4 linked regions of the Lonchura striata genome follow. The protein of the gene in region 1 purifies or fractionates together with the protein of each later gene. This does not show direct contact. Links are inferred from orthologs where the notes say so. Each region holds a gene or a part of one and is shown in the gene's direction. Other genes may lie near its edges.

Region 1 (7,608 bases):
GGCTCCACCATGGGCTTTATGAAAGAGGAGGATCTGAGTGAAAAGGCATAAACCTGGTATTCAAACAGTGCTTTGTCCTTTTTACCCAGCATTAGAAGCAATGTGTTTCTCTCCTTGGGGAATCCATAGAAGCAGGCACACCCAGGATCCCTGTGGGACCTGCACCCAAAGCTCCATGGATGCTTTTCCAGGCTGGCATGGCCAGGGTGGGCAGATATCTTTAGGCCCTGCAAAAAGGGATGCTGTGGTGGTAGAAATCAGCACTCACTTCCACCCTTGCCCCCAGCCCTGGCACAGCTGTTTGTGGGCATCCTCACTGCCCCCTCTGAGATCTGCTCCATCCATCCCTCCCAGTGAGGGAGGTGCTCTCATCCAGCCCCCAGCCCCATCCATGGCCACTTCTCTGCTTTGTTCTCCTGCCAGCCATATCCTGTGGCTCTGCTTGCTTGTCCCCTCAGTGGCAGTGCTACTGGGCTGTTGGTGCCTCATCCCAGCTGGGCTTTTTGGGATACTCCAACTTCCTGGTGCCACAACACCAATACTTCTATCTAGAATGCTAATACATTTTCTTCCTCCTATTCTGTAAGCATCATCTTGCCAGTGGTCCAAGAGAGAGCTGTCAGTCACCTCTTGCTACTCAGGACATCATTTTCTTGGCATAATTTTTTTTCTTTAAATCATTCTTTTCTTCAGCCATCATTGGTCACATAGTCAAACCCCGGATGAGGTTTGACTACCCTGAGGGTGCTGCAGGCCCGAGGTGGGAGGCAGCACATGCCCTTTGCCTCTGTCAGTGATCAATGTAGGACCTCATATTTCAGAGTATTTCTATTTATCCCTTAGTTCCAAAAAGGTTTTTGAATAAAACCACCGAATTTCGGCATCGCTGATGACCTTGCAGGAGCCTTTTAAACGGCAGCCAAAGGTTGAACAGCACCATCTAGTGCACTGCCTCCCGAATCCGGCAGCGCCAGAGGGACGCCGGCTCACCCCCGCACATCCCTGCCTGGAGGGGAGCGCTGCGCGCTGGCAGCCCCCGGGCATCCCCCCGGCACCGGCTCGGGCACACCTTGCTCTAGGAGAGCCACAATTCATTTGGGGGGACTCCAGTCAGTGCCGAAGCCGATCCAGGCGGTTTCAGGCTCTGCAGATGGGATGTTGGAGAGCTTGCGAGTCCCTGCCTTGGCAGGAGGGAGGTTGCTACAGAACACATCCCTTTGCAAGGAGGCTCTGGAATTGCACTGCACCAGCGCTGCCTGCATGTTGCACAGACTCTTCCGAGCAAAGGCTGAGAGCAGCTCCTTTTCTCCAGTGTTTGCTGTTTGTTTCTTCCAGGCAGAAAGGAATGTGTGCATTGGGAGCTGGGAAGTGTCCAGCACCCCAGGTTCACATGGGGACAGCTTCAGTGCCAGGGTGACACCAGGGGTACACAAAACACCACTACCTTTCGGTGGTGTCAGCTTTGGTGTAAGGGTGATATTTGGGGTGAAAGGCAGAGCTTCGTGGTCAGCTGATGAAGAGGGAAAAATAACCAGGTTTGGTTCACTGGCTTCAAATCTGAGATCTGCAGTCTGATTCCTCCAGCACACAGCCAGGAATGCTCAGTGTGGTTTATCACCTGTTTGATGTTATCAGATAAATCTGGAAGTGATTTTGGCCCCTGGTAGAGTGCCGACGTACGCCTCCTTGTCATGAGCCACCTGAGGGGTAAAATGCAGGGAAAGGGCTCCAGAGGGAGCCCATGGCTCTCTCAGCCCCAAGCATCCCTGCTAGAAGACCAGAAAATAATGAGGCACCGTGAGGGCTTGGCATTGATCTGTGGAATTTGCTTCTTGTGGCCTAGGAAGGGGCAGCTGCCTGGCTGCCTTTGCTGGAGCAGAGCAGTGCTGGCTCTGCTTTCCCTGGGAGCATGCACAGTGATCCTGCACTGCTGGAAGGGACGTGCTTGTCTGCAGGTCCCCTGCCTCTCTCTGTGCCTTGGGGGTGGGATGGGGGCTGGTCTTCACTCTGGGCTGTGACCCCTGAGCTGGGGGAATGTGCCAGGAGCTGGTGGGAGCAAGATGAGCCTTCAGCACTTCTCCCACATCCCCAGGTTCAGCCCAACCCAAGGAGCAGTAAAGAAGGTCAGGGAAGGATGGCAGCATGAGGGAGGACATGTCAAGCCCCAGCACTTCAACCACCTGCATCCTGCTGCACCCAGAGTCGTTGCCCACCACCTCAGGCTCTCCCCTGCCACGGAGAAATCTTGCTCTAGTTTCTCAAATGAACTCAGTTCAAGCCATGAATCCTGCTGGGCCTTCCTCTGGGAGATGAAAAGCTCTCTAACACCTGATCGTCTCTCACCCATGAAGTGGCTGAAGTGCTATAATGGAGATGCCTCTGGGGCTCCTTTGAACTTGCTGGGGAGGCTGCAGGCCTCAGCTACCCCCCCCCTGCAAAGCAGGACTCATTTTTAACTCTCCTCCACCTCCCGATTTCTCAGCATCCTTTCCAAAACACAGATGCTGGAACCCTCCTGCTGTAGCACTCAGCCCCATCCCAGCTGGACGTCCCCCACGGGGAGCCTGCTGCTCCCACATTATCCCTCCTGCCTCCTAAACTGTGGTAAACACTAAACTCCCCCCGATGTGGTTTTGCCAGATCCCGGGTTTCCAGCAGAAGGGCCCTGTGTTCAGTGGACAGACCCTTTCACAGCTGCTCGCATTCAAGCACGTTTTATTTGCCAGGCACTCGGCTTGTGAAGTTTTCTACAGCTGTCTTGACCTCGTCCATGTCTCCTGCCCCTCTCATTTCCCTCACCCCAGCGTTTTTCTCAGCAGGGCTTTTTAATCTATTTCTAGACCATTGATGGAAACATTGAATAGCACTGGGCTTCCCATCCAAGCCTGGACACCCACTGAGCGCGCTCCCATTCTGCAGGGATTCCCCATTGATGGCTGTCGGTTTGCCAGCTCCCAGCCCCTTTAAGGTGTCCCTCTTGATGTTGTATTGTGCTAATTTTTAATCAGAATAGTATATGGATTAAGTCACATGCCTCAACAGAGCCCAGGTCTTTTATTTCTATGCCATAACCTTTATCAGCCAAACTTGTAATCTCTTCAAAGGATGACATCAGAGTTTGACAAGAGCTATTTTCTGGAAACTAGGCTGATTGCATTAATTATATTCCCATCCTTTAATTCTTTACCAGCTGAATCCCACATCAGCTTTGCTATTATTACGCCTGAGATCAGCATTGCACTGCTACGTGTAAATCAGCTCCGAGCATCGTTCACATGAGAGACTGCAAGGAGCCACATCATCCTGCCAGACTCTGTGCTGGGGTGGGATGGGGAGTGTCACTGCCAGAGTGGATATTTGGGAACTTCATAAAACTGGAAAAAGAAATGTTACATTTCCAAAAGTTTTCTCTAAATGCACTGAGGCAGTCAACTGTGGCAGCATCATCACATAAGAAAGGAGAAACAGTCCCTATTGGAAACTATTTTGTTATTTCTGATTTTCAGAGGACTGTCTAGTGTCTTGTTTGTATGTTCAGCCTGGCTCGGAGTCTATCACTGCTTTCCAGGGAAGACACGCTTTTGCACTTCCCTGTCACGCTACTCTCATTTGATCTCTGCATCTGGCAATTCACTTCTTCTCCCTTCAGTGTCCCCATCACTGCAGCCTCAGAGCTGGTGCACCCTGCTGCACAGAACCCAGCATCGCCTTGGGAGTCTCCAGGCGGTGTGACCCTTCCAGTCCATGCAGTGCCACCTCTTGGCCAGCCCCTGCTTTCCCCCAGCGGCAGTTGCCCAGCTCAGAGAAGCAGGACACACACTGCAGGTTCCAAAGCAGCTCTAGTTGTTGTTGGAGGCAAGAGCAGCTGGTGCACCGGTGCCCCTACATCCCCAGGCCCACGGTGCGTGGTCCAAAAGTGACAAAACTCGGGTGTGTCATGGTGTTCAACGCGGACAGCACCGTGGAGCCTGGTGGTGTTTGAGGGTTGATGCCTTCCCTGGGCAGAGCCCTTCCACGAGACCCCGGAGGTCTCCCAAGTTTCTCTGGGCCGTCTCTGCCCGGGATGCTCACGGGCTGCCCTCATCCAGGGCCGGACGAAGCCCTGGAGCCTCTCAGCCCCTGAGGCGCCTGCCCAGCCGGGGCTCTGCGGGAAGCCGAGCCCGAAGCCTCGGCCATGTGCCGGAGCTGTCCGGGGAGCTCAGCCCGTGCGCTCGGCAGCGTGCTGCGGCTCCCGGGGCTCGGTGCCTCCCCCAGCCGGCACCCCCGCGCTTCCCGGGCCGGCCCCGCAGCGGGTGCGGGGCCTGCGGCCGCGCCGGGCCCGCGTGCGGCCGCGCCGCCTCCCCGGGCCGGGCCGGGCCGGGCCCGCTCCGCCCCGCTCCGTCCCGGTCCCGCAGTACCGGGCGGGGGCGCGGGGGGCGCGGCTGAGCCGCCGTGCCGGGCTGGGAGGCAGCGGCGCAGGCGGAGCGGAGCGGAGCGGGGCTCGGCTCGCTGCTGCTGCTGCTGCTGCTGCTCTCGCTCCCCGCCGCCGCCAGCCGCCTGCGGCCGCGGCCATGGGCGTCCCGGGCCGCCCGCTTTGTGCCGCCGCTGCCCCTCCGGGCCGCCGCCGCCGCTGAGCCGCATGGGCCGGGCCCCGCGCCGCCCCGGGCCGCCGCCGCCGCTCCGCGCGGGTGAGTGAGGCGGCCCCGGCCCAGGCCCTGCGCCGAGGCCGCGCCGAGGCCGCCGCGGGCGGGAGCGCGGGGCCGCGCCGGGGCCGCCGAGCCGGGCTAGGCCGCCCCGGGCGCGGGGGGAGGCCGGGCGGGCCGGGAGGGGAGCGGGGCCGGGGGCGGCGGCGGGGGGGCGGCGCGGGCCGGGTCCCGCGAAGTTGCCCGGGGGGCGGCGGGGGCCCCGCGCGGTGCCCTGTCAGCGGCGGGGCCGCCCCGGAGCCCACCCGGCCCCGCGCCCGCCGCGGGTCCCCTCCGGAGCCGGCCGGGCGGCTCGGCCGGGCGCCTCGCGTGTCCTCCGGGAGCTTCCTGGGGCTGCCCCGGCCGGGGCGAGGAGCCAGCGCCGCCCCGCCGCAACAATGCCCGGCGTGGCTTTGGGGCTGCGGTGCCGCTGCCCCGGGCGTCCCCTTCACCCGGCCGGGGGTCACCGAGGACCTGCACCGCACACGGGGGGCGAGTCCCGCTCTCGCTTTCCAGGAGCGGGGTGAAAACCACCCAGAACCGCCCCGTGGTGCCAAAGCCCAGCCTCGTCCCGCGGTGCCGGGACAGGGGCTGCGTGCCGGGGGCTCGGGCCGGGCGTGAGCGCGGCGCTGGCTCCTGCCGCGCTCCTCGCGGGGCCCCGCCACCCTCGCTGGCCGCTCCTGGGCTCGCTGGGTTGTTTCACGATGCACAGGTGGGCTGTAAGGACAGGCACGGCATCGGCGGCGGTTCTTGGTTTAGCCAGGATCAGGAAATGGGGGGTCAATGGTAAAGCGTCCCAAAGATGTTCGTTGTTGTGGGGTTTGTTTTGAGAGGGAGGGCGAGCTAAAATGTGTCTTTCTTGCTGTGTTTTTACGTGCAATTGAGTTAACCCAGTGCAAGGAGTAATTTATGAGGCTGCTGGTGCTCTGCAGTACTTGGGGCTTAGAGGCTGAGGCTGTTCTGTTAACACAGGGCTTTTGCTACTTGCTTTAAACGATGAGGTTAATTTGTTGAGCAGCAGAAGTAGCAACCCAGGGATTGCCCTTTTCTTCCTTCCCTGCCTTCCCCATGCCTTCCATCCTCCATATTGACTCATTGCTCTTCTTTAAAAACACCGTACTTGATCAGGTTTCCTTGTCAAGGTGGTTTTCTCATCTTCCTTTGGTGACCTGAAATTTTCCCAGGCTCGTAGCATGCAATTCTCTTAGCGTAAATGAACCTTTTCTCAACGGCTTGCCTACAAAAAGCAGTGCTAGAACTGAGCTCCTGTACTAACATGCCCATCTGAAGCAAGAATGCAGTCCAGATGCCCAAAATATTAGGGTCAACGATGCATCTGGATTCCCCTAGAGCTAGACGAGGCGACGCGGCTTATTTCTGAAACGCAGAGATTTGTGAGGAATGTGGCGCTGGTATGTCACTTGAGCTACGAAAGCCACCTGTGTTTGATTAAGGTGCAGCCCTGCTTTCAGGACTAACTGGATGTTTTTTAATAATAATTTTCACAAGCCTTAAATTCCTGTTTAAGGGTAAGAATTTCCTAGATCCATAGCCAGATAAAAACATGTTGCCTTAGTGTGATCTGGTATACGTCCTGTCCAGGTAGGCAGTGCAGAAGAGCTGGTGGCAGTGCAGAAGGTGGCATGTGTCCTGTAGTACCTGAGTATGGATCTTTTGGATGTGGGCTGCCACATACCAGGGTCATGTATAAACCACCGTTGTTGGGAAATCTGCTGGTGTTTTAGCATAGCATCAGTTGTATCAGTGATGCTGAATTCTGGATATAAAATTTTGGGATGTTCTGTAAATGTGCTTGTTAGCCTCTGTCTGATTTGAGCTCAGTTCTGTGCTCTCAGAAGTTACCAAGCCATTGATCCTGTTGAAAAAGAGGTGTTAGTACATTAAAGGTGCAGAGCATAACCTCTAGTTTGTTGTCTTAGAGCGTTTATTTCCAGTGATACTCGCTTATTTTTTCCTTATTTGTTTCAGCCAAACAAACCTGTTTACCTTGGAGCTACAGATATTGGTGACTTGAGGTTAGCGCTCATCTCCCACTGTTCCCACGCAAGCAAGGACCAGAAAAATGAATATCCAGGGGAAAGGCTTCCCCTTGGACCTCGGAGGAAGCTTCACTGAAGATGCTCCAAGGCCACCGGTTCCTGGTGAGGAGGGGGAGCTCGTGTCCACAGACCCAAGGCCAGTTAGCCATGGTTTCTACTCTGGTAAAAGTGATGTGGTCAGAAATGAGACGTCCACGGCAACACCGAGGCGCTCCGATTTGGATTTGGGGTACGAGCCCGAGGGGAGTGCTTCGCCAACTCCACCCTACCTGAAGTGGGCTGAATCACTGCACTCCTTGCTGGATGACCAAGATGGCATCAATCTCTTCAGGACTTTCCTGAAACAGGAGGACTGTGCGGATCTGTTGGACTTTTGGTTTGCCTGCAGTGGCTTCAGGAAGCTGGAGCCATGCGTGTCTAATGAAGAAAAAAGACTCAAGCTGGCAAAAGCCATTTACAAAAAATACATCCTCGACAACAATGGCATTGTGTCCCGGCAGATCAAACCGGCCACAAAAAGCTTCATCAAAGACTGTGTCATGAAACTGCAGATTGACCCTGACATGTTTGACCAGGCCCAAACAGAGATTCAGTGCATGATAGAAGACAATACCTACCCTTTGTTCCTTAAGTCGGATATTTATTTGGAATACACAAGGACAGGTGGGGAAAGCCCAAAAATTTACAGCGATCCGAGCTCAGGGTCTGGGACAGGTAAAGGGCTACCTGGTTATCTGCCAACTCTGAACGAGGATGAGGAGTGGAAGTGTGACCAAGAGGCCGAGCCCGAGGCCAGCAGGGACTCGGCGCCTTCCAGCAGGCTCACGCAGAAGCTGCTCCTGGAGACGGCCACGCAGCGCGCGGCCTCAGCCCGGCGCTACAGCGAG
Region 2 (7,656 bases), on another chromosome or scaffold:
TGACTTGTTTCTGTGCTTTGTTAGTGGGAAAGAAAATGTTGTAGGAGAGGGAGAAGTGTTCTAAAGGTTTTATTCTGATTATTATTATTCTTTCTTTTAGTTAATAAAGTTTTCTTTACCCTTTTAAAGTTTTGATCCTGCTTTACCTTCCTCCTAAACCTATCTCACAGCAGGAAAGGAGTAAATCTAGGGGGTACATTGGCATTTGACCAACAGTAAACCCACCACAGACTGTAATGATGTAGTCACAGGTACACTGAAAGGAGTCAAACTCAGGACCCTTACAAACAAAATCTTGCCATCTAACCTCTGAATTCCAATCCCTGAATTTCAAATTCTGCCCTGGGATTAAGGTGACAAATGGCCCTGAGATTACTAATGCTGTATTATTCAAGGATTTGTCAAGCAGAAGACTTGGGAACACTTATGCTTGATATCTACTACACAAGATAGACTACAGAACATATGTATGTAAGCATATAGTTTATCCTGAACTAGGTGGATATCTCACTTGGTTCTACTGGGGCATTAGTCCAAGGAAGTATTTTAATCTAGGACTAAGCCCCTCACATTTGCAGACAGGCTGAGTGAGTTGGAGTTCTTCAGCCTGGAAAAGAGAAGATTCCAGGGAGACATTAGGGTACTTCCTATATCTAAAGGGGGTCTAAAAGAGAGCTGGAGAGGGACTTACTAAAAGGGCATGTAGTGACAGGACAAGGGATAATGGCTTTACTCTGAAAAAGGGTAGATTTAGATCACATATGGGGAAGAAGTTCATCACTGTGAAGAGGGTGAGGCACTGGAACAGGTTACGTGTTGCCCTGATTTATAAAAGTGTTAAGTTTTCTTTTATAGTTCTTTTGAAAGTTTTAAAGTTTTTTTAAAAGTTTTCTATGCCTTCTGATGTTTACATATTTCTACTGGAGTTCTCATACACTGTTCATGTTGATAAAGATTGTTTTGCATTCTTCTTTGTGGGAGGAAAGAATTGATGGACTGGTTGGTTTGACCAGTGTGGTTGGAGAGGTGGCAATTTCATCCTCCAATCCACTGTCGCTTTTGGAATTTCATATATTGCGAGGTCAGAAATAAAATTTGTGCTTTTTTTCCTTTGAACTTACCAAGCTTCTGTGTGCTCGTTTTGTGTCCAATAGCGACAGTTACCCAGAAAAACTGTGGATGCCTTATCCCTGGAAGAGCTCAAGGCCAGGCTGGATGGGGCTTTGGGCAACCTGGTCTAGTGGAAGGTGCCCTTGTCTATAGCAAGGGGTTTGGAACAAGATGATCTTTGAAGTCCCTTCCAACCCAGGACATTCTGTGATTCTGTGAAATACCCTGAAAAACTGCTGGGTTTGTGCAGTAGTAAATATAAGCACAGTTGCAGTCAACAGGGTTTTTCATATTCATTTTGAGAGGGAAATCAAATTTTCTCAACAAACTTTCTTGGCTGAGAGTTCACCCACTTAGGGCATCCTCTTTACTAAAATATTCCTCCCACTGTCTCTGGGAAGAGATAGATTTCTGGCAGCTTGGCCTCCAAGCATCCGTATGGATGAATGGGAAAGCAGAGCTGTAGTTAACTCCTCATCTGCTGGCAGCCAGGCAACTCCCTGCAGCAAAAATCTGGTAGCAACCTGGTACTTGAAGCACCAGATTTGCAAGACAACTTGGCCAGGATTCTGCAAGCTAATGATGCGTCATGTTCTTGTTCACCTTTCCAAAGGTTTCTCTTCTGGGTAAAAAGATGATATGAAAATGCAGGAAATAATCATCTGTGGCTAAATGAAAAGAACCATAAATGCGACTTTCAGTAAAATCTGCTCCAGAATGTTGCTCCTCCGTTCTGAATAATGATAATGAGCCTTCTTCAAAGCTAGAGATATGCGAGAGGTTTTGCAGAATCAAGGCCTCAGTGCATACTGAGGAGCCTGATTTAGGAGTGGGAATAGCTTGGCATAAAATTACTATTCACAACATTCTCTGTGGACACCGCAGACTTCAATGAATTGCATCTGGAGCCAGCAGCTTGTAACCTGGCATCATCCCTGTGTGCCTTTAAATATACTCTGAAAACCAGGGGCTTCAGAAGCTGACTCAGAGCAGCTCTGACAGCTGTGTAGGAAGCAGAAAGCAGGGAAGGGCAAACTCCAGCCCTCTCAAACACAATTATTTCAGACTGCCACTCACAGCTCTTGTTTCATTTTTTGTCTCCAAATACCCCAGTCCAGCAGGCCTGTATGTTCCAATGATTTCACACATTGATGTAATTCCACTGACTTCAAGTGCAACTTAAAGCAAACATTACCATTTCAGTTTAGGAAACTGTAGCTGGTCACCAGAGATGCTGCTCATTCTTTTCTGAAACAGAAGAGTTATATTAAAAAGACAAAAGAAAACTCAATGGCTAGAAGTACTTCTTATTTATTTGAGAGAATAAACGTTTTGTTTTGTGTAGCTGACTCAGATCTCACCAATATTTCTTTTACAAATGATACATGAAGATGCAGTCTGAAAATATCTTTCAGTGCAATCAATATGAAAATCCCATCATTGCAAGGAAGGCTTGGTGTCATGAATTTCAACTGCCAACAGATTTTTTAAAGCACATTTTCAAACAGCACTTCTAAGCCTAAGCAACCTTGGGGAAAACACTTTAAACCGCAGAAAACCAACATTTTTACATTTTACAACTAGAACATGTATCAAGCTTCCTTAACAAATCCTGAAATGCTGATGAACCTCTAAGGTAGACTCTTTTACCCTGGGAATTGGAAGCAAGGCTTGAGTTGCCAATAAACAGTACACAGGACACGCTGGGCAGTGTCAGTTTCTAAAAATGGGTGCAGAAGCAAATGACAGCTGTTGGAGGGCAGGCAGGAACAGAGGAACACACCGATACAGGGGCTTGGCCCCAGTGATCTCTCAATAAGAGCTGTGGGCCTTGAAGTGAAGTGAGAATTAATCATGTAATTAATGCAAGGATTTCCTTTACTGCAATCAATATTGGAGCTGGTAGTTTAAAGGACAAGTACCTAGAGACTGCTATGTTGTCTGTAAAACAGATTTTATAATATAAGGAAATGAAATGAAAAGTCTACAACACCTACAAGATTGATAAAAGTATATTACATTAGTACTCTATAATTTCTAGATATGTTCTATCCAGAATTTAATCTAAAGTGTATAGAAAAGGCTTGTCTCAGCTCAGCTCATAGGGGTTATAGAATATTTTAAACCAGAAAAGACCCACAAGGATCACTGAGTCCAACTCAAGTGAATGGCTCATACTCCCTCTCTCTACTAAAGATTATTTCACCAAAAGCAAAGAAGATGAGCAGTGCACAAGTTAGAGACTGTGTTGACATAGGAAAGGAAAATGAAGAGACAGAAGCAAACAGGGAGATCTGTTTCTACTGAATAGGCTATCACACTCTTAGTCTTTTACATTCATATAAAGCTATAATCATTTGCCTTTTGATTTATGGTTTATATACACAGAGATTAAAGTCCAACTCATGTAATGAAGGCATTTTACAAACATTTACGGTGATCTTATTGTATTTATGCCCTACCACAGCTACCGAAACTTGAGTGTGTGCTTAAAATACTACAAATGCTTATTTGCTATATCGGTATCCAAACCTATGTAGCAAAAAGAAATGCGCTGACGTGCTCAAAACTTAGCGGTACGTGAATGGCCACAAGACACGGCATCCCGCGTGTCCAGCTCCGCACGGGGGCGGGGGAGCCGGGTACGGGAACGGGCCAGCGCAGGTCAGATCCTGATGCAGCCCGCGGCGCACACGCAGCCGTGGCTGTCACCGGCCCGGCTGCAGCCCGAGCCCCGCAGGCGGATCGCGCCCAGCAGCGGGACGGGCTCCCGGCTGCGCATCCAGCCCGGGAAGCTCGGGCAGCGCCGCCTCCAGCCGCTGCCGCGCTGCCAGCCAGGGAAAACACCGCGGCCGCGCCGACCGTCACACACCCGAGCCCAGCGGAGACCAAAGGAGACCTTAAAGCGCTGAGGCGTCGGGAGGGTGGGCGAAGGAACCAAAAATTCGGGAGCAGTGGGGACACGGCACGGAGATACGCTTGGGAGCGCAGCGCGCGCTGCCGCGGCTCCCGGCGCTCCCGGCGCTCCCGGCTCCCGGTCAAACACCCTCTCGGCGGTGTCCCCGTGAGCGGCACCGCCGGGCGCGGGACGCTCGCTGCGCCGCTCCCCCGCCCGCCGCGGGATTGGCCGGAGCGCGCCCCGCCCGCCATCCCGCCCCTTCCCCTTCCCCTTCCCCTTCCCTTTCCCCTTCCCTTTCCCTTTCCCTTTCCCTTCCCCCCGCCGGGAAGCCCCGCCCACCCCGCCTCCCCCGCTCCCGGCTGGAGGAGCCGGCTGTCAATCATCCGGTCCCCGGCGCGCGGCCCAACTCCCGCGTTCTCCCCAGGCCTCCGCGGGCGGAGCGGGGGGCGTTCCGCATTCCTCTCCTTCCATTGGTCGCTCCGGGCCGTCAATCACCCGTCGCCGCCAACCGCTGCCTCTGCCCCCGCCCTCGCCCCGCCCCTCCCTCCTCCCTCCGCTCAACTCCGCTCGCTCCGCCAAGTTGTGCGGCCGCTGCCCGGCGGCTCCGGGGTTGTGGCGGCGCCACGCGCGGCGGCCCCCGGCGGAGCGCGACGAGGCGGGATGACGGCGGAGGCGCGGGGAGCGCCCGGCGGCGGCTGAAGGCGGACAAGGGGCGTGTGGAAGCGAGCGGCTGAAGCCCGGGGGCGAGTTCGGCTGATGACAGCGGGCTCGACTGAAGGGGACGCAGAGCGAGCGAAGCGGGAGCGGGGCAGCGGCGCCGCCGAGCCCGTCCCGCAGCGGGTCGCGCCGCGCCTGCCCTGAGGACAGCGGGACCCCGGGAGGGAAAGTTTGGCGCTCGCCCGCCCCCGCCCCGCCGGGCAAAGTTGTCTTTGGGTTTGTTTGTTTGTTTTCCCTTTCCTCCTCCTCCTCCCCCCTTCCGCTCCCCCGCCGGCTCCGCGCGGGGAGGAAACGGCGAGGGAAGCAGGAACTGAGGAGCGACCCGGGAGCCTCCCCAGCGCCCGGCAGAGCCCGCTCCGCTCCTCTCCTCGTCGGTGCGGTGTGTGAGGGCAGCCAGGACTTCGTTTTTGGTGGTGTTTTTCGTTGTTGGTTTTTTTTTTTTTTTTTTAAGTCCCTTTGTTTTTTGCCCGCCCGCTTCTCCCTCCGGTACAATATATGCTCGTGGAGAGCCGCCCCGCCGCCCAGCCATGTCGGCGGCCATCTCTGCCGCGGAGAAGGTGGATGGCTTCACTCGGAAATCGGTGCGCAAGGCGCAGAGGCAGAAGCGCTCGCAGGGCTCCTCGCAGTTCCGCAGCCAGGGCAGCCCGGTGGAGCTCTCGCCGCTGCCCCAGCTCAAAGGTACGAGCCTGCCCTCCCCTCCGGCTGCAGGTGCCGCTGCCCACACCGCCTGCCCCGCGCCCTCTGCCCTTTAGCCGTGTCCTCCCCTGCCCCCGCTGCTTTCCAGGTAGGGACCCGCGGCAGGAATTGCTCCTCTGCTCGCACCACCCAGCGCCGCTGTCCCGGGCGCCGACTCCGCTAACTCGCCACCCCCCTATTCTGGCTGTTCGCGTGCGTTTTAAGGTCTTACTGAGGAAAATGTAGACGGTAAGTTGAGCTGGGGAGTGCAAGCAATTGAGCGCTAAAACCTGGGAGCGAGCGGTGGCTCCTCCCACGGGGGTTTTGCGGAGAGGAGCTGTGCCCGAGGCGTGACATCCCGAGTTAGCGGAGAGCTCGCCTTGGGCTGCCCCGGCTTTCGCACCGCTCTCGGACGGTGCTGGGACGGCGTTTTGCTGCTCTCCAGGAGTTGCCTCGGAGACTTCCTCCAGCACAGTCTGTGTGGCGACACTCTCACGCGAATGAAAACTCTGGATGAAGCGGAAAATAGACAGTGATGGTTTTATCCGCTGTGCTGGTTCTAAAATTTGAGAAGGCTCAGTTCATTAGGTCATAAAAATGAAGCGAAGTTCATTGCAAACTTCTACATCTTTGACCATCCGAATACGTTTCTGTATATTTTTAAAATTACGAAAGGATATGTTGAGAGAGTATAAAGCTTGTTATTAAAGCATTTATCAGGGACTTGAAAAATAAGGTAGAGCGACTACTTTAACGTGACTTAGCATGTTAATTTTACTTCCACTGGCTTTAAGGTCTTAAGGCTTTTGAAGCTGCATCATGTGATGGTGGAAAAAAAAAAATCTGATTTGCAGTGAATATCCAAAATCTGAATGAGATATAGTAAACATAAAAATATTCATAGGTACTAAGTTTGGATTTTTTTTTCAGTTTGATTTTTATGGCACTTACAGTCATGTCTAATATTTCAGGGCTGTCACGTTTTTTCTGCTCTTTGAGTGACAGATGTACATGAATCATAAATCTGGCTCTTAGCAGAAATGTTATTGACTAGAAATAAGCTTAGGCAAGGGAGTAACAAGGGCAGGGTTGTTTGGTTTTAAAATGTTTGTTGCAGTCGGTTTGGGTGTTAGTTTTAACAGCAACAGCAGGATTGTTCTTGCTCCTTGTTATGGGCTTTCCTTCCTCTATGAAGTTGTGTCCTGTCTTGGTCCGCTACTTTGATTTGAGGGATATATAACCTGGATATTTTGTTTGAAACTAAGATTCAGTTTCTGCTGTTTCCATGCAGTTTAGACAATACATTTTCCTCAGAGCTGAATTTGAGAAACCACACTTGGGACTTTGTAAAGGCCCTTGGTAAATACTGCATATAGGTGGCAGACTTCAGAAAGTTTGAGTCCTGGTCCAGCAAACAGTTAAACATACGTGTGTTATGCAGGGAGCAATTCCAGCTTCAATCAGCAAAATGTCCAAGTTTACATTCTTTGCTGAGCTGGGACTTTAATATTAAATTTTTAACTCTGCATTATTAAGTCTTGTAGTTTTTTGAGTGTGGTTTTATAACTTTTTATTTGTAATACAGAAAAATTTTGCATGCCATCAGCAGCTCACATGTTTGGAAATTTGAAGCCATAAACCAGCAAAGGAATTTCTTCAGTTATGCAGGGTTTTATAGTAGTTTGAATCGCCTTATTGCCTTAAGTTCTTAAAGGAAAATCCCTTCAGTCTTTATGCTTATGATTCAGATGTGAAGTCTTGCCTTGGAGACCTGCTTCAGAACAGAAATTGTGGGCAAAATATACTTTTATGAGCTGTAGTGTCCCAAGTAGGCAGTTTGCAGAAAGTCAAACAGCACTCCTTTTGCTTGCATTTTTCCCTTAGGTTTGTGATGTTAGATTTGTCCCGTAGCTGTGGACATGGGATAGTTTCTTTTCATAATGCTCCCTCTCTCCTTTTTCCTTTTAAACCTTCCTTGCCTCTGAAGCCAGAAAAGGTTCTAAAAAGAGTTTGCTCTCTCTGCAAATGGATCGTTTTATAAAACTATTTGTTCTAATCGCTTGTGTCTTGGGAAGATAAATCTTTGCTTTATTTGTTAAAGTTAGTATGGAATTTAGCAATAGTCTTGATGCTGCTAGTGTAATATCATCTACAGACTCATGAGCCAGAATTTACAGGGATGGGCTGGAAAAGGAAAGTACAGTCATTATAATGATGCCTGCGGGTGCTCAGCATACACTTAGTAATTAGAATAA
Region 3 (7,067 bases), on another chromosome or scaffold:
GCCAGGTCCATGAGCACATCAGCAGCATCCTCATCAAACATTGTCGAATTTTTAGAGAATCTTCCTGATGTTGAGTATAAACTTGCACTAAAATGCAGCTGTCGGTGTCAGGGACTGGTTCTAACCCAGGGGTGGTGCTGGTTCTGCCATCCTGTAGATCTTTGGCCTCACCCTTTACCATGAGAGCGGCACATGGAGCCCAGACCCGACAAAACGACCCTGATGGACATCAACAAGATGTTCTCCCTGCTGCAGCCCAGGGATGACGAGGAGGACAGCGGCGACAGCGAGGAGCTGAGCCGGGCGGTGTGCCAGGACGACCACGAAACGTTGGCCAGGCTCCTGTCCCAGGACAGGTACAAGAGGCTCATCAACCGCAGGAGCGGCTGGGGTGTGCCCAGCACCCCCCTGCGCCTGGCGGCCACGCGGGGCTGCGTGCGGAGCCTGCGGCTGCTGCTGGCCCACGGCGCCCAGGTGGACAGCCTGGACGTGAAGGCGCAGACCCCGCTCTTCGTGGCCGTCAGCAACGGGCACGGCGAGTGCGTGCGGCTGCTGCTGGAGGCCGGCGCCAGCCCCGCGGGCAGCGCCTACAACAACTGCTCGCCGCTGCTGCTGGCAGCCAGGGACGGCCACGCGGCCATCCTGCGGCTGCTGCTGGAGCACGGCGCCGAGGCCAACGTCCGGGCCAGGCTGCCCGAGTGGGCGGCCAACTCGGCGGCCTGCTCGGGGCCGCTGTACCTGGCGGCGGCCTACGGGCACCTGGAGTGCTTCCGCCTGCTGCTGCTGCACGGCGCCGACCCCGACTACAACTGCACCGAGCAGAGCGTCCTGGCGCAGATCCGCGAGCCCAAGACCTTGCTGGAGACGTGCCTGAGGCACGGCTGCCACAGCGACTTCGTCCGCCTGCTCATCGACTTCGGGGCCAACGTGTACCTGCCCGGCGTGCCCGCCGGCGGGGCGGCCCCGCGCAGCGAGGGGCTGGAGCTGCTGCTGCAGGCCAGAGGTGACCTGGCCACGTGCCCGGGGCTGGACGGGCACGGCTTTGCTCTGATTCCCTCTTCCCAACAGCCACACGCGGGTTTTCCTTCAGCCTCGGCTGTGCGGGTCTGTGGCTGCCCCTGGATCCCTGATGTGTCCAAGGCCAGGTTGGACAGGGCTTGGAGCAACCTGGGGTAGTGGAATTCCTGCCCACGGAATGAGATGAGCTTAAATTCCCTTCCCAACCAAAGCCCTTCTGTGATTCCGTGGTTCCCACAGCCTGGGTTTCCCCTCACTTGGGTTACCCCCTGCTTTTCACCCTTGCTCTTCTTTTTGCTGCTCAGCTTGGGCTCTCCTGTACTGCCCAAGTCTAAAATCCTGCACTTATTTCCATGTGGGGATGGGAGATTTCTTCTCCATGCCCAGCCCTCGTGGGAGCTTGTGCCTGAGTCCATAGCCCCAGCCCCAGCACAGAGGTTGAGTTTTCACAGGATCATGGAATTTTCATAGGATCATGGAATGGTTTGGGTTGGAAGGAACCTAAAGATCATTTTGTTCCAATGCTGTCTGGTTTGCTCAATCCATGTCCCTTTCCTTCAGATAATGCTGGGTTGGAGGGCGGCAGGGTTGCGTGTCTTGAAGGTGACCATGTGATTTTCCTTCCACAGCTCATCCCAAATCCCTGCTGTCCCAGTCCCGGCTGGCCATGAGGCGTCTCCTGAAGCAGCCCAGCTGCTCGGCCACCCTTGGAGAGCTGGAGATCCCCAGAGCCCTGGCCAAATACCTGCAGCACCAGCTGTGATCGCAGCCTGCCCCAATTAAAACCTGCTCCACCTCCCGGAGTGAATCCCTGAAATCTGCAGAACCGCTGGGAATTTGTGGTCACAATTTCATTTTTGCTGCTGAGGTGTCTCCAGAAAGCAATGCCCATGTGGAAAAGTGGGAAGGGAACAGAAGGGAAGGTGGAGGAAGAACAGGAGACCTGAGCTCCTGATTTGCAGCAGAGGATAGAGCACAGAGCAGGATCTGATCCCCCTCGGTTTGCCTCAGACCGTCTTTACTGAGGGATTTTACACCTTTAGCTGATTTTGGTTGGAGAAGGGGCTGGGAAGGAGCGTGGAGGAATTCTTGGCTGTGAGAATGAGAATTCTTCCCTGTGGGGGTGGGCAGGCCCTGGCACAGGTGCCCAGAGCAGCTGTGGCTGCCCCTGGATCCCTGGCAGTGCCCAAGGCCAGGCTGGACACTGGGGCTGGAGCAGCCTGGGACAGTGGGAGGTGTCCCTGCCATGACAGGGGTGACACTGGATGGGCTTTGAGGTCCCTCATGATTCCACAATTCCCAGAGAAGTTCCCAAGTGTCTCCTCCACGTGGGAGGGGCAGGATTGGGGCTGGCCCTGGCCGTGTGTGCCCACCCCAGTGGGGGCAGAGCCCAGCACTCCCAGCTGGCAGCACAGGAGGGGCTGGGAGATGCATCCAGAGCCCAGCAGCCCCACTCCTCTCCCTGCCCCAGCTCTGACCCTAAACATCATCTCCTCACCCCAAAAGTGCTTCCTGTTGTGGCCGAGGGTGCTCTGTGACTGGGCAGGGCTGGGGTTTGGATTAAAAGAGTTCTGTTCTTGGTATGAAACTGTTGTGGCCTGTCTGGTGAAATATCCCATGTCGGGCAGCCCTGCCAGGATGGCTGGGAGGGGAAGAGGGAATGGCTGTGCATGGGGAATTCCAGGCTGGAGCGGGGCATCCCAGCACCACCTTTGTGTCCCTCCATCCCTCCCGTTCTGGACACCGGGATTGCCCTCACCAGTGGGGCTGGAGGTGCCTTCCCAGCTCTTCCCACAGCCAGGAACTGATGGATCAATGCTGCTGCTCCTTGGCAGCTCAGCGTCCACCCAGCAGTGGTGTTCTGGAGCACTTTGGAAGGGTGTCCCACGGTTCATTCCTTCCTGCCCTGATCCATCCCAAAGGGAAATGTTCCATGGCTCAGAGCCGAACACAGGCACCTTCCTGCAGGATTTACGGGCTTGTGTCAGGGGTTGTGGGATCTCTTCGTCAGCATCTATTAATTAATGAGGCTGTGGGGCCTCTCCCAAGGGCAGCATTAGGGCTTGGAAGCAGCCTGGACAAAGCTCCACAGGGCATGATGACATTGCTGCTGCTGGTCCCCATGCAGGTGCCTTCAGGAGCACATCAGGAGATGGCAGCTGGGAAAGGCTGTCCCGCGGGGACATTGCCACGCCCTGCTGTGGTTCCCACTCGTGGCATCCTTGTTGTCATCCTCACGTGGAGATTGGAGGGGCTTTTGGGATCTGGGGGTCCCAAAAATGGGGAGGGGTCTTCCCTACCGGGCTGCTCAGTTGGCTGTGGGGCTGTGGGTGTGAGCAGCCGCGCAGCGGTGGGTGGGTGGCAGCGGCGTGGCGCGGGTGACACGCCCGCGGGTGACACAGCAGGCGCAGGGAGGTGTCCCACGGCAAACACGCCGTGTCACCGGTCACACACTGTCACAGCCCTGGCCCCGCGGTGTCACAGACAGGCCAGGCCAGGCCAGGCCAGGCCAGGCCGGGCCATCCCCCCGTGTCCGTGACCCCGCGTGGCCCGCGGCTGCCGCGCCAAGGCCACGCCCCCGCCGGGGTGACCGCGCCCCCTGTCAATCAACCGCCAACGGGGCCACGCCCCCAGGGCGGGGCGCGCCCTGAGGCCACGCCCACTGCCCCGGGCCACCGGGGAGGACACCGGGGGCGGCCCCGGGGGGACACCGGGGCCGGCCATGAGGGGACACCGGGGCCGGCCATGAGGGGACACCGGGGTCCGGCCCCGGGGGGACACCGGGGGCGGCCATGAGGGGACACGGCGGGGAGCGCGCCCAGCGCTCAGCGCGACCCCGCCCGCTCCGCTGGGCCCAGTGTGGAGACCGCGCCCTCCCTCACGCAGAGGCCCCGCCCCTCCGCCGCCGCGCCCTGTCAATCACCGCGCCCCGCCCGCCAGGCCCCGCCCCGGCCGTCACGCGGCGCCGCCCCTGCCGCCCGCGCCGGGCGGACCCGCGGCCCCGCGCCCCTCGCGCGGCCGGGGCCGGGCCGGGGCTGGACCGGGAGCGGGGCCGGGAGCGGGGCCGGGAGCGGAGCCGGGAGCGGAGCCGGGCCGGGGCTGCCGCGGTGCCGCCGGTGAGTGCTGGCCACGGGCCGGGTCTGGGGCCGGGGCCGCCGCCGGTAAGTGCTGGGCACGGGCACGGGCCGGGGCCGCCGCTCCCCGCGCCGCCCGCCGCCTGGCCCGACCCCCTCCCCGCCCCTCGCGTTTTCCCGGATCCTCCCGAAAGTTGGGGAGCGGGGAGGGCCGGCCCGGGGGAGCGGCCCCGTGCGGGGCGGGGGTCCCTGAGGGGCTCCTCTGCGGGTGGAACGCTGCGTTTCATTGTTACCGTGCTGCTTTTTCTTGCTTTTAAACCTTATCTTTCATGGTCTGTTGGTCGTGGCTCTTTGCCCTCGGTGTACTTGATTTCCGCTTTCTTTCATTTTTATCTATTCTATTTTTTATCCTACTCCAGCCTCCCCTCCGCAGCAGTGCCGCGGTGCTGACGTGGAGCTGGAGAGGAATGATTCCCAAAAGGAATTTCTGTAATGCTGGCTCTGTCTCGTGCCCTTCCCCGGCTGTTTTCCAGCAGCCCCAGTTTAGGTGCAGGTTTGGGGTCATTTCACCCCCATTCTCCATCAGCCCCATTCCAGGTGCAGTTTTGGGGTCATTTCATTCCTTTTCCATCAGCCCCAGTTTAGGTGCAGGTTTGGGGTCATTTCATTCCTGTTCTCCATCAGCCCCATTCCAGGTGTAGGTTTGGGGTCATTTCATTCCTTTTCCATCAGCCCCATTCCAGGTGCAGGTTTGGGGTCATTTCATTCCTTTTCTAGCAGCCCCATTCCAGGTGCAGGTTTGGGGTCATTTCACCCCCATTTTCCAGCAGCCCGATTCCAGGTGCAGGTTTGGGGTAATTTCATTCCTTTTCCATCAGCCCCATTCCAGGTGTAGGTTTGGGGTCATTTCATTCCTTTTCCAGCAGCCCCATTCCAGGTGCAGGTTTGGGGTCATTTCACCCCCATTTTCCAGCAGCCCCACACGTGTCCAGTGCAGGCCTTTCTCCCAGCCCCTCTCTGCAGAGGCTTTGGAGGCTCCTAGGACTTGTGGTGGGCTCTGGCAGAGCTGGAAAAGCCCAGTTTGCCACTGGGGAGGTGGCTGTGCCAGCCAGCTACGCCCCAGCTGCTGCTTCACCAGTGGGACAGGTGAACGTGAGGAGTTATCAGCAATCCCAGGATTCCAGAACCATGGAATGGAATGGGTTGGGAGGGACCTGGAAGCCCATCCAGTCCCAGCTGTTCTGAGCGCAGCGATGCCAGATCAGTATAGAGGCAAAGCAACCCAGACCTGAGGAATAAAAATAAACCTGGAATTGCAGGTTTGCTGGGGGGCTGCAGGAGCAGAGAGCATCGTTTGGATGTATTTTTAATTTGGGATCTTTGGCTAAACACTTTGGGAAGGTTTCCTTGGCCTCCTGTCAGTCAGAGCTCAGCCTGGGGCATTACAGCTTGGGAGCACATTAGGATTTTATTGCATTTAATTTCTCCACCCTCACCTCTGGAAGAGAATCGTGATTATAATTGTTTTATTTCTGCTGTTCATGACAGCAGTCCAGGGTCAAATTTCAAACCTACCTCTCTGCTTCTGGGATAATCTGATCAGGGTATTCACAGTTGGTGTTTTTAAGGCGATTCTCTCTGGCTGGACAGATTATTTTAAAAACAACTGAAATCTTCTATTTAAAAAAGCCAGGGTAGTAAGTAAAGTGGTTTTTCCCCAGACTCGTGCGTAGGGGGGCTGTGTCCTGGTTTGGCCTCCCTCAGGATGCTCTTTGGAGCCTGGCATGAGGCCTGGGAGAGCTGGGAGGTGGTTTGGGAGGTGCTAGCTCTCACTTTAAGGTAGCCAAACCTGATCACCCTGGAGGTGAAAAATCTGGGAAGCTTTAGGGCATGGAGCGAGGAGGTGCAGGGGTCAGACCTGCTCGTCCCTAGGGATTCTAGCCGAGGGAGATGTGTGGTTTTCCTGCTCTGGCTAACTGCTACATTTAAGCGACATTCTGGTGCCTGAATTTTGGAATTGGAGGGAGATTTTGGAGGCTCCTCCAGCCGGTGAGGGAGCCCCGAGACTCCGGTGCCTTCAGCCGTGCCCCTTCCGCTGCCGTGTCCTCACCTGTGCCCTCTCCCTGTGCCTCAGGTCGGCGGTGATGTGTCCATCCCTGCGCCCGGAGCACCGCGCTGCCAAAGCCGCCTCCAGCTAGATCCAAGCCCGCCCGCTGCCATGGAAACGGGCAGCCCGGAGGAGCGGGACGGAGGGGAGCAGCGGCGGCAGGAGGGCGGCGACGCCCCTCCCGACAGCGCCGACGGCTCCGTGGTGGCAGCGGAGCCGCAGCAGCCGCCCCCCGGCAAGCTGCGGAAAACGGCCTTCAAGCTGTTCGGGGGCAAGCGCAGCATCTGCACCCTGCCCAGCTTCTTCGGCGGCCGCGGCAAGAAGGGGCTCAGCAAGTGCAAGACCCACGACGGGCTGAGCAGCGCTGCCTGTGACAAGGGCGGTGGGACAGGGCCGGACAGCCCCTCGGAGGGCAGCAGGGATGGGCAGCCCGGCCCCCTGCCCGGCTCCCGCAGCGCCCAGCTGGCCGTGGACACCGGCAGCAGGGGGGATTTGGGCCAGCAGGACGGCTCTCCCCCCGGGAGTATCGAGGGCTGTGACAAAAAGCCCTCTTTCCCCAGACCCAAAAAAGGGCTGAAAGGGTTTTTTAACAGCATCCGGCGCCACCGGAAGAGCAAGGCTGCCGAGAGTGAGAAGACAGAGCTCCCCGAGTGGAACGGGGACACGGAGGAGGCTGGGAATGCTCCTGGAACGGCAGTGGAGAGCCGAGGGGCTGTGGAGGGCAGGGGAGCAGGGCCAGTCACTGAGACCAGAGCTGGCCCAGGGGACTCGGGGGGTGACTCCAGCTGTGGTGAGGCCACGGAGCCCACGGGCCCCACAGCTGATGGAGGCACCTCCGAGGGTGGCACGATGGCCGTGCCAGGGAATGG
Region 4 (7,124 bases), on another chromosome or scaffold:
TGTTTGCCTGAAATCCTGGTGAGAATCCTGCATTCTCAGTCTGTGGCACTGCTGGGAAATCTGTGGAAATGAGAGGGTTCCACATGGAATTCCCCCCTGGGCTGGGCAGGAGCACTGCTCCTTCTTCCCAAACAATTTGGTTTTCCCTGTCCTTTTCTCTCCCCAATCTGGGACTTGCCTCTTGTGGAGGAACACTTGTTTGATGTGTGTATAGCACTTGGCCTGGGTTATTCAATGTAATTTTCTCTCTGTGCCAATGAATTGCTGCACTTTGATAAACTTCTTTACCTTCTTTCCCCATCACAGTCTCCCTGGTTTCCTGAGACATAGATTTTATATTTAATTAGTTAAAATAATAATATTAATAATAATAATCATCTTCCCCAGTATTTGTACAGCAGTTACCCTCAGTGAGAACTTTGCCTCGATGAGGGCAGAGAAATCAAAGTTATTTAGGGTAATAAATGGACTGTGAGCTCTTGGTGTGGGATAAGGAAATGGTGCTTGGCAGTGACCTTAAAAGGGGTTAAAATTGAGACTACAACTAAAACCCTCTTTTCAGCTCTGTGAACACTCTCCAGACTAAGAACTTCCTCCATAAATCTTGTTCTTTCCTTTGTTGTAACAAAATTAATTCTCATTATTATTGTTGCTTATTTTTTACCATTGGTAGAACTCTCCAAACATTTAAGAAATAAAGGAGAATAAAATGGACTTTCCAGCTCAGGCTGATTTTATTTCTTGCCCTTTTGGAGGTGTTCTCTCAGCCAGCATTAGATAATTCTTCCCAATAACTGTGCAGGATTGTTTCATCTCAGAGCATCCCAAAGTGCCTGACAAAGTGCAGATTGGATCCAGTAAATTATTCCAGAGATTCCGATAAAATTTCCACCTGAGACATCATTATTTGACAGGGTCATGGGGCCCCCAGAGGAATTTCAGCTCTCCAGAAATGTTGTATAAGGAACAAATCTGCAGCTGGAGATGGAGCTCAAAGCATCCAGCAGAGAGGAAGGCTGGCAGCCCTTCCAGAGGATTTCATTTGGTAGGTCCAGAAGGGAAGATAACATTTCCTGCTGGAATTTACATCTCCCTGCCAGCCCAAATTCCTCTTTTCCTTGCAGGACTAACACCTTGCAAAGTTCCTGCTGCACATTCTGCTCCTGCAGCACTTCCAGCCCCTGAGCACTTCCCCAGCTGGCAGAGCAGAGTTCTCCCAGGGACACTGATGGAAAAAGCTCCTGCACCCTGCAGGGACAAGGATTGCAAGGATCAAGGCAGGATATTGGGATAATTCACTTCTGGGGGGGATTTTGGAAGGAATTAGAGATCTTTGAGTTGGTTTTGATCCCAAGATTTATTTTTCTTCTACACAGGCAGGAAGGGTGAGTTCAGCTCACATCCTCACTGAATGGCTCAGAGGGTCACAAGACCCTTAGTTATAAGACATTTTAAGGATAAAACATTGCCAACAAGGATATTTATGTTTTTGACCCAATCCTTAAATATTTCATCTTATGGACTTACAGTGTGAGCTTTCTTAGCCAATCATGTTATGAAGGCAAACCTACAGTTCTGCAATCTAAACTCTTACTTGTATACCTTAAACTTTTTGTATATTTAAACATCAATCTTTTCTATCTAAAAGGTTTAGATATAAAAGGTCCAGGGGACCTAAAACACAAATAAATGTTGATTACATTTAAGCCCCGGGGAGCTTTGCAGAGGTTACTGCAAAGTCTTTTGCTTCCCTCTAGTGTTTAATGTCTCCATTTCCCTGTCAGTGACTGCCCAAGGTCCACTGCACACACAGGGAGAATAAAAAAGGATAAAACCTTGCAGATCTTGCAGACCAGATCCAGGAGAAGTTGAAATTTTCTCTGCTTCTCATTCTGTTCTGGGATAATTTCCATCTTTAGTTCATCTTCTGCATCTATCCCAATCTTGCCAACAATCCTCAAAGTGAAATTTTGTTACTTTACAGAGAAATCCTTGATGTGAAAACCACCCGGGACACCTCTAGGCAGGTGCTCAGAGCTTTGTTTTCCCTTTTGTCCCATCTTTTCACACCCTTATTTTGTGAAATATTGGCCAAATTTTTGCCCAAGACCAGAGGGTTCAGTTATTTCCCCATGGAATATTAAGGTAATGTGTTCAAGAATTGTTTTAGAGATTCTCCAGTAAAAATTTAGAAGTGCCTAAACCAAGAACATCTTGGGGCAGTAGTTTAGGTCAGAAGCTCTGCTGAGCACCCAGAATGGGAAGAGCTCTGAGACAAGCAACAGGCATTGCTGTAATTCTGGAAGGCTTTTAAAAAATAGCTTTTTTAAAGGGATTGCTTATTCCCTGTGTGGTAACTGCTGTGAAAATGAAGAAAAGGGTGAGCAGCTTTTATCCCTCCGCTCCCTGCAGGACTATTCCCTCTATCACAGAGAGCACAGCACTGTTAGCAGGAGATTTGGTGCCTCTTATTTATTTTTTGCTGAAGTGTTAAGGCCTGAGCTGTGCTGGACACGAGGTTTTAGCCCTGCTGGGCCAGGGGTGTATCCTGCTTCCCTGTGTCCTCTCCTTAATTGGATTAGCTGCTGCTTTGACTGCAGCATGAAGTTATCTCCTCTCTTCTGTGCTTTCTGGGGAGCTTTTTGTGAGTCCCAGAGCCAGTCTGATGGCTCTGCTGTGGGGTAATCAGCTGACAATTATTATTTCCAGCTGTCAGAAGTGAAAGAGAAGCTCAGGGAGCAAGAACAGCTCTCAGCAGGTTCAGGCTCTGGGAGGGCACCTGAGGAGCCCAGGAGGTCCTTAAGTACCAACTGAGGGGACCAAATGTTAATGTTTTGCCCGAGTTTCATGCTGCAAGAACTCCATAAAGCTCAGGAGCTCAGGAAATATTGCTCATGGCAGAGTTATGATCCCACCAAAGGGAAATTTCCCACTCATGCATTTGTGGTGCACTTCCCATGCCAGGAGCACTCCAGGGTGCTTGCAGAGCCTGGTAGGACAGAAAGCTAAACTCATATTTTTATAGAAATCTCTGTTATTCTCCTAATTGCAAAACTGAGAGTGAGAAACGCTTGGCTATCTTGGAAAGAAATGTATTTAAATATAAATAACTCTTGAAAAAGACTCTTTCAGGTGCCCTAAATTGGTGATTCCTGGTGATTCAAACCAGCACCATGGACCCCCCTTCTCTCCTTTCCTCATCCCCATCCTTTTCCCCTTTCCTGTCCCATAGTCTTCCCTATCCCCATCCCATCCTCTCCCTTTCCCCATTCCCATCCCCTTTCCCTATCCTCATCCTCTTTCTCATCCCCTCCTCTCCTCATCACCATTCCCAATCCCTTTTCCCTATCCCCATCCCATCCTTTTCCTTAACCCTTCCTTTTCCCATCCTATCCTCTCCCCTTTCCCACCCCATCCATTTCCCTATCCCCATCCTCTTTCTCTTTCTCATCCCATCCTCTTCCCTTTCCCCATTCCCATCCCTTTTCCCTATCCCCACGCCATCCTTTTCCTTATCCCCTTTCCCATCCCACCCTCACCCCTCTCCTCATCCCCATCCCATCCTCTCCCCTTTCCCCATCCCTTCCATTTCCCTATCCCCATCCTCTTTCCCATCCCATCCTCTCCCCTCTCCTCATCACCATTCCCATCCCATCGGTCTCCCCTTTCCCCATCCTCTTTCCCATCCCATCCTCTCCTCTTTCCCCATTCCCATCGTCTCCCCTTTCCCCATCCTCTTTCCCATCCCATCCTCTCCCCTTTCCCCATTCCCATCGCTTTTCCCTATCCCCACCCCATCCTTTTCCTTACCCCCCTTCCCACCCCACCCCACCCCATCCCTTCCGCGCCCTCCGCCGCCGCGGGCCGGGCCGTGCCGCCGCCGGGCCGGCAGGGGCGGTGTGCGGGCGGCGTGCGGGGCCGCGGCGGGCGCGGGCGGAGGGCGCTGCCCGGGGCCGCCCCGCTGCCGCTCAGGCCGGGCCCGCCCGCCCGGCCGGGGCAGCGCTGCGGCGGCGGCGGCGGCGGCGCAGCGGGGCCGGCGGCGCGGCCGGAGGATGCGGGCGGGGCGGGCGCGCTGCCGTTCCCGGGTCGGGCAGCTAGAGAGCAGTGCAGGGAGCGCCAGCCCCGCCGCCAGCCGCCTTCCTGTGGGCAAGGCCGACCGCCGCGCCGAGCGCCGGCCCGGGCCCGGCCCGGCCGCCCCCGCGCCGCTCGCCCATGGCGGAGACCAAGATCATCTACCACATCGACGAGGAGGAGACGCCGTACCTGGTGAAGCTGCCCGTGCCGCCGGAGAAAGTCACGCTGGCCGATTTCAAAAATGTCCTCAGCAACCGGCCCGTGCACAGCTACAAGTTCTTCTTCAAGTCCATGGACCAGGATTTCGGGTGAGCGGCCGCGCCCCCGGCCCTCGCTGCGGGCTGCGCTCCGCGGCCCGGGCGGCGCTCGCAGCATCCCCGGGGCACCTGCCGGGCTCGGCCGGGCCGGCCCCGCCGGGCTCCGGCAGCGCCGCGAACATGGCGGGCGGCCCGGCCGGCCCCGCCGCGGGCTCGGGGCTGCCGCGACCGCGGCCCGGGACCCGCCGTGCCCCCGGCCGGGCCCGCCCGCGGCTGCCGCCGTGCCCCCGGCCCGGGCCCGGCCGGGCGGGCGCAGCTGTCACCGCGCCCGGGGAGGCCGCGGCAGCGCCCGGGCACGGCAGGGCGGGCGGGCCCGGCGGCCGCGGGGCGCCGGCCCGGGGCGAGCGGCGACTGTCCGCGGGCAGCGCGGCTGGCAAAGCTGGGGGCGGGACGGGTGACAGGCGGTCCTGGCTGAACCGGTGAGAAATGGTCAGTGGTTAAATGGGGGAATAGTGGTCAGTGGTCAAACGGGCGTGAAATGGTCAGTGGTTAAATGGGGGAATAGTGGTCAGTGGTCAAACGGGCGTGAAATGGTCAGTGGTTAAATGGGGGAATAGTGGTCAGTGGTCAAACGGGTGTGAAATGGTCAGTGGTTAAATGGGGGAATAGTGGTCAGTGGTCAAACGGGCGTGAAATGGTCAGTGGTTAAATGGGGGATGAGTGGTCAGTGGTCAAACGGGTGTGAAATGGTCAGTGGTTAAATGGGGGACCAGTGGTCAAACGAACGTGAAATAGTGGTTAAATGGGGGATGAGTGGTCAGTGGTCAAACAGGTGTGAAATGGTCAGTGGTTAAATGGGGGACGAGTGGTCAAATGGGTGGTAAGTGCTTGGTGGTCAAATAAATGGTCAAACGGGGACCAGTGCTTGGTGGTCAAATGAATGTCAAATGGGGGACAAGGGCTCAGTGCTCAAAAGGTTGTGGAATGGTCAATGGTTAAATGGAATGGCCAGTGGCCAAGCGGGTGTGAAATGGTCAGTGGTCAAATGGGTGACAAGTGGCCGGGGTCAAACGGTGCCAGGGGCTGTGCTCAGACTGCAGCTGTCAAATCCTCGAGGTCAGACAATCCCAGGTCAAACGGGTGTGGGATGGTCAGTGATCAAATGAGTGTCAGATGTTGGTGGTCAGACGAGTGGTCAGTGGTCAGGCAGGTGCAGGGGCTGCACTCAGATAGCGACTGTCACATCCCCTGGGTGTCACCGTCCCTGGTCAAACGGCTGTGAAGTGGTCGGTGGTCAGACATGTCTCAGGTGGTCAGTGGTCAAACGGTGTCACACAGTCCCTGTTTGAGCAGGTGACAAGCACTTGGTGGTCAAACAGCTCCGTGGGCTGTGCTGGGCCAGCAGCTGGGACGGTCAGTGGCCAAAGGGGTGACAGATGGTCAGTGGCCAAATGCCCGCTTCCGAGGGCACATGCTGAGCTGGGGGTGCTGCAGGAGAGCAGGGCTGGACTTTGAAATGACCTCTGTGGTGGCCAGAGGCAGCTGGGTGACCAGAGCCGGGGGCGTTTGCCATCGTTCCGCTCCCTGCTTGCGTGCCACCGGGCTTAACGACAGCCAGAATTAAATAAACCAATAAAAGTCCCTCTGACAGTTTGCCAGACAGTAACTTTCAAAATGTATTAATCCTTTCGTAGCAAATCGCTTCTCTTTGTACTCACATCTGTCGCTGGCAAGGCAATTTTGCACAGTTAAATGCCTTGCCAGGAATAAAAAAAAAATAAAATAAAAATGGAACAGGTTTGTGGGAAACTCGTGCAGACCTGACTCCAAAACAGCACCGTGTTGAGGTGCAGGTTTTATGTTTGGTGAGATGGATCACCCCAAGCATCCGTGGATGTGTTGTGCAGCCTCTTTCTTATCCCTGAGACTCAAACCTTTCATGCTGATTGGGTTTTTATCCCTGGTGGAATGTGGATGTTGTTTGTTGACACGGATTTCTGATGTGGCGAGTTGTTAGTGTTGGCTTCTAACCACAGGAGTGTTCGTGGATTGACTTCTTGTTTTTCTCACTTGTGCAAACATTTTTTTTTTTTGGAGGGGGGGAAACAACAGCACAAGATGTTTGTTTTCAAAATAAATGGAATTATTGCTAAATGGTAAATTAAAAAATGGTAAATTTTCCTCCTTCACCTCCCCGGGTGACAGGGACATGTTGCTGTCGTAGAAATTCAAGTTGTGTTTGTGGTTTGATTTCACTGAAGGAGGCTGGGATTGTTCAGGCAGCATCTGCATCATTCCCAGTGCCACAGAAATTTAGGATTAGGAAATATAAACTGTGCTGAGGCATCTTGAACACACAGGGATGTTTTGGTCTTTGACCAGGAAGCAGAGTTTGTAACAAACCCTAGAGTAGATTTTCTTACTAGCCTGAAAATCTGGGTGAAACTTCTGTTATTCTTGGAAATGGAGGTGATGATGGAAGATGAAGGGCTGCAGGGATCAAGACCTGGAAATTCTGTCTCTGTTATTGAATCAACAGCATTTGGGTGACAAATCCATGGCCTTGAGACAGCTCAGAGTGACTCTGACCTGCGACTCCTGAGCTTTGTTTGCATTTATTATTTTCTATGTCTTGTTCCTTTTGTGTTTGTGCCTCTCTGAACCTGAAATATTTGGGGAAATTAGAAGTGAATTCAGCTGAATTTGAGTGTTAATAGCAAATGTGGGCTTTATTTTCATCATCTCATCTGCAAACTGACTTTGTGTAGAGTCATGAAGTATTCTGAGCTGGGA

The links.
Region 2: the proteins of AXIN1 (region 1) and PPP2R5A purify together in Homo sapiens (affinity purification with western blotting; 3 studies listed by BioGRID and IntAct, with this or other methods). This does not show direct contact. The link is inferred for Lonchura striata from reciprocal best matches to the Homo sapiens genes AXIN1 and PPP2R5A.
Region 3: the proteins of AXIN1 (region 1) and AMER1 purify together in Homo sapiens (affinity purification with mass spectrometry; 4 studies listed by BioGRID and IntAct, with this or other methods). This does not show direct contact. The link is inferred for Lonchura striata from reciprocal best matches to the Homo sapiens genes AXIN1 and AMER1.
Region 4: the proteins of AXIN1 (region 1) and DVL1 purify together in Homo sapiens (affinity purification with western blotting; 3 studies listed by BioGRID). This does not show direct contact. The link is inferred for Lonchura striata from reciprocal best matches to the Homo sapiens genes AXIN1 and DVL1.

What each region holds. Positions count from the first base shown.
Region 1 is NC_134618.1:4,334,362-4,341,969, reverse strand, and holds the start of AXIN1 (axin-1), read left to right. Parts: upstream 1-4,600; 5' UTR 4,601-4,667; intron 4,668-6,650; 5' UTR 6,651-6,744; coding exon 6,745-7,608. UniProt on the Homo sapiens protein: Component of the beta-catenin destruction complex required for regulating CTNNB1 levels through phosphorylation and ubiquitination, and modulating Wnt-signaling.
Region 2 is NC_134605.1:11,994,704-12,002,359, reverse strand, and holds the start of PPP2R5A (serine/threonine-protein phosphatase 2A 56 kDa regulatory subunit alpha isoform), read left to right. Parts: upstream 1-4,656; 5' UTR 4,657-4,942; intron 4,943-5,177; 5' UTR 5,178-5,253; coding exon 5,254-5,404; intron 5,405-5,489; exon of another isoform or gene 5,490-5,510; intron 5,511-7,656. UniProt on the Homo sapiens protein: The B regulatory subunit might modulate substrate selectivity and catalytic activity, and might also direct the localization of the catalytic enzyme to a particular subcellular compartment.
Region 3 is NC_134616.1:16,024,099-16,031,165, forward strand, and holds the start of AMER1 (APC membrane recruitment protein 1), read left to right. Parts: upstream 1-4,063; 5' UTR 4,064-4,133; intron 4,134-6,225; 5' UTR 6,226-6,309; coding exon 6,310-7,067. Other genes in the region: ASB12 (ankyrin repeat and SOCS box protein 12), read left to right, coding at 193-1,003, 1,647-1,780. UniProt on the Homo sapiens protein: Regulator of the canonical Wnt signaling pathway.
Region 4 is NC_134626.1:2,221,688-2,228,811, reverse strand, and holds the start of DVL1 (segment polarity protein dishevelled homolog DVL-1), read left to right. Parts: upstream 1-4,114; 5' UTR 4,115-4,212; coding exon 4,213-4,382; intron 4,383-7,124. UniProt on the Homo sapiens protein: Participates in Wnt signaling by binding to the cytoplasmic C-terminus of frizzled family members and transducing the Wnt signal to down-stream effectors. Plays a role both in canonical and non-canonical Wnt signaling.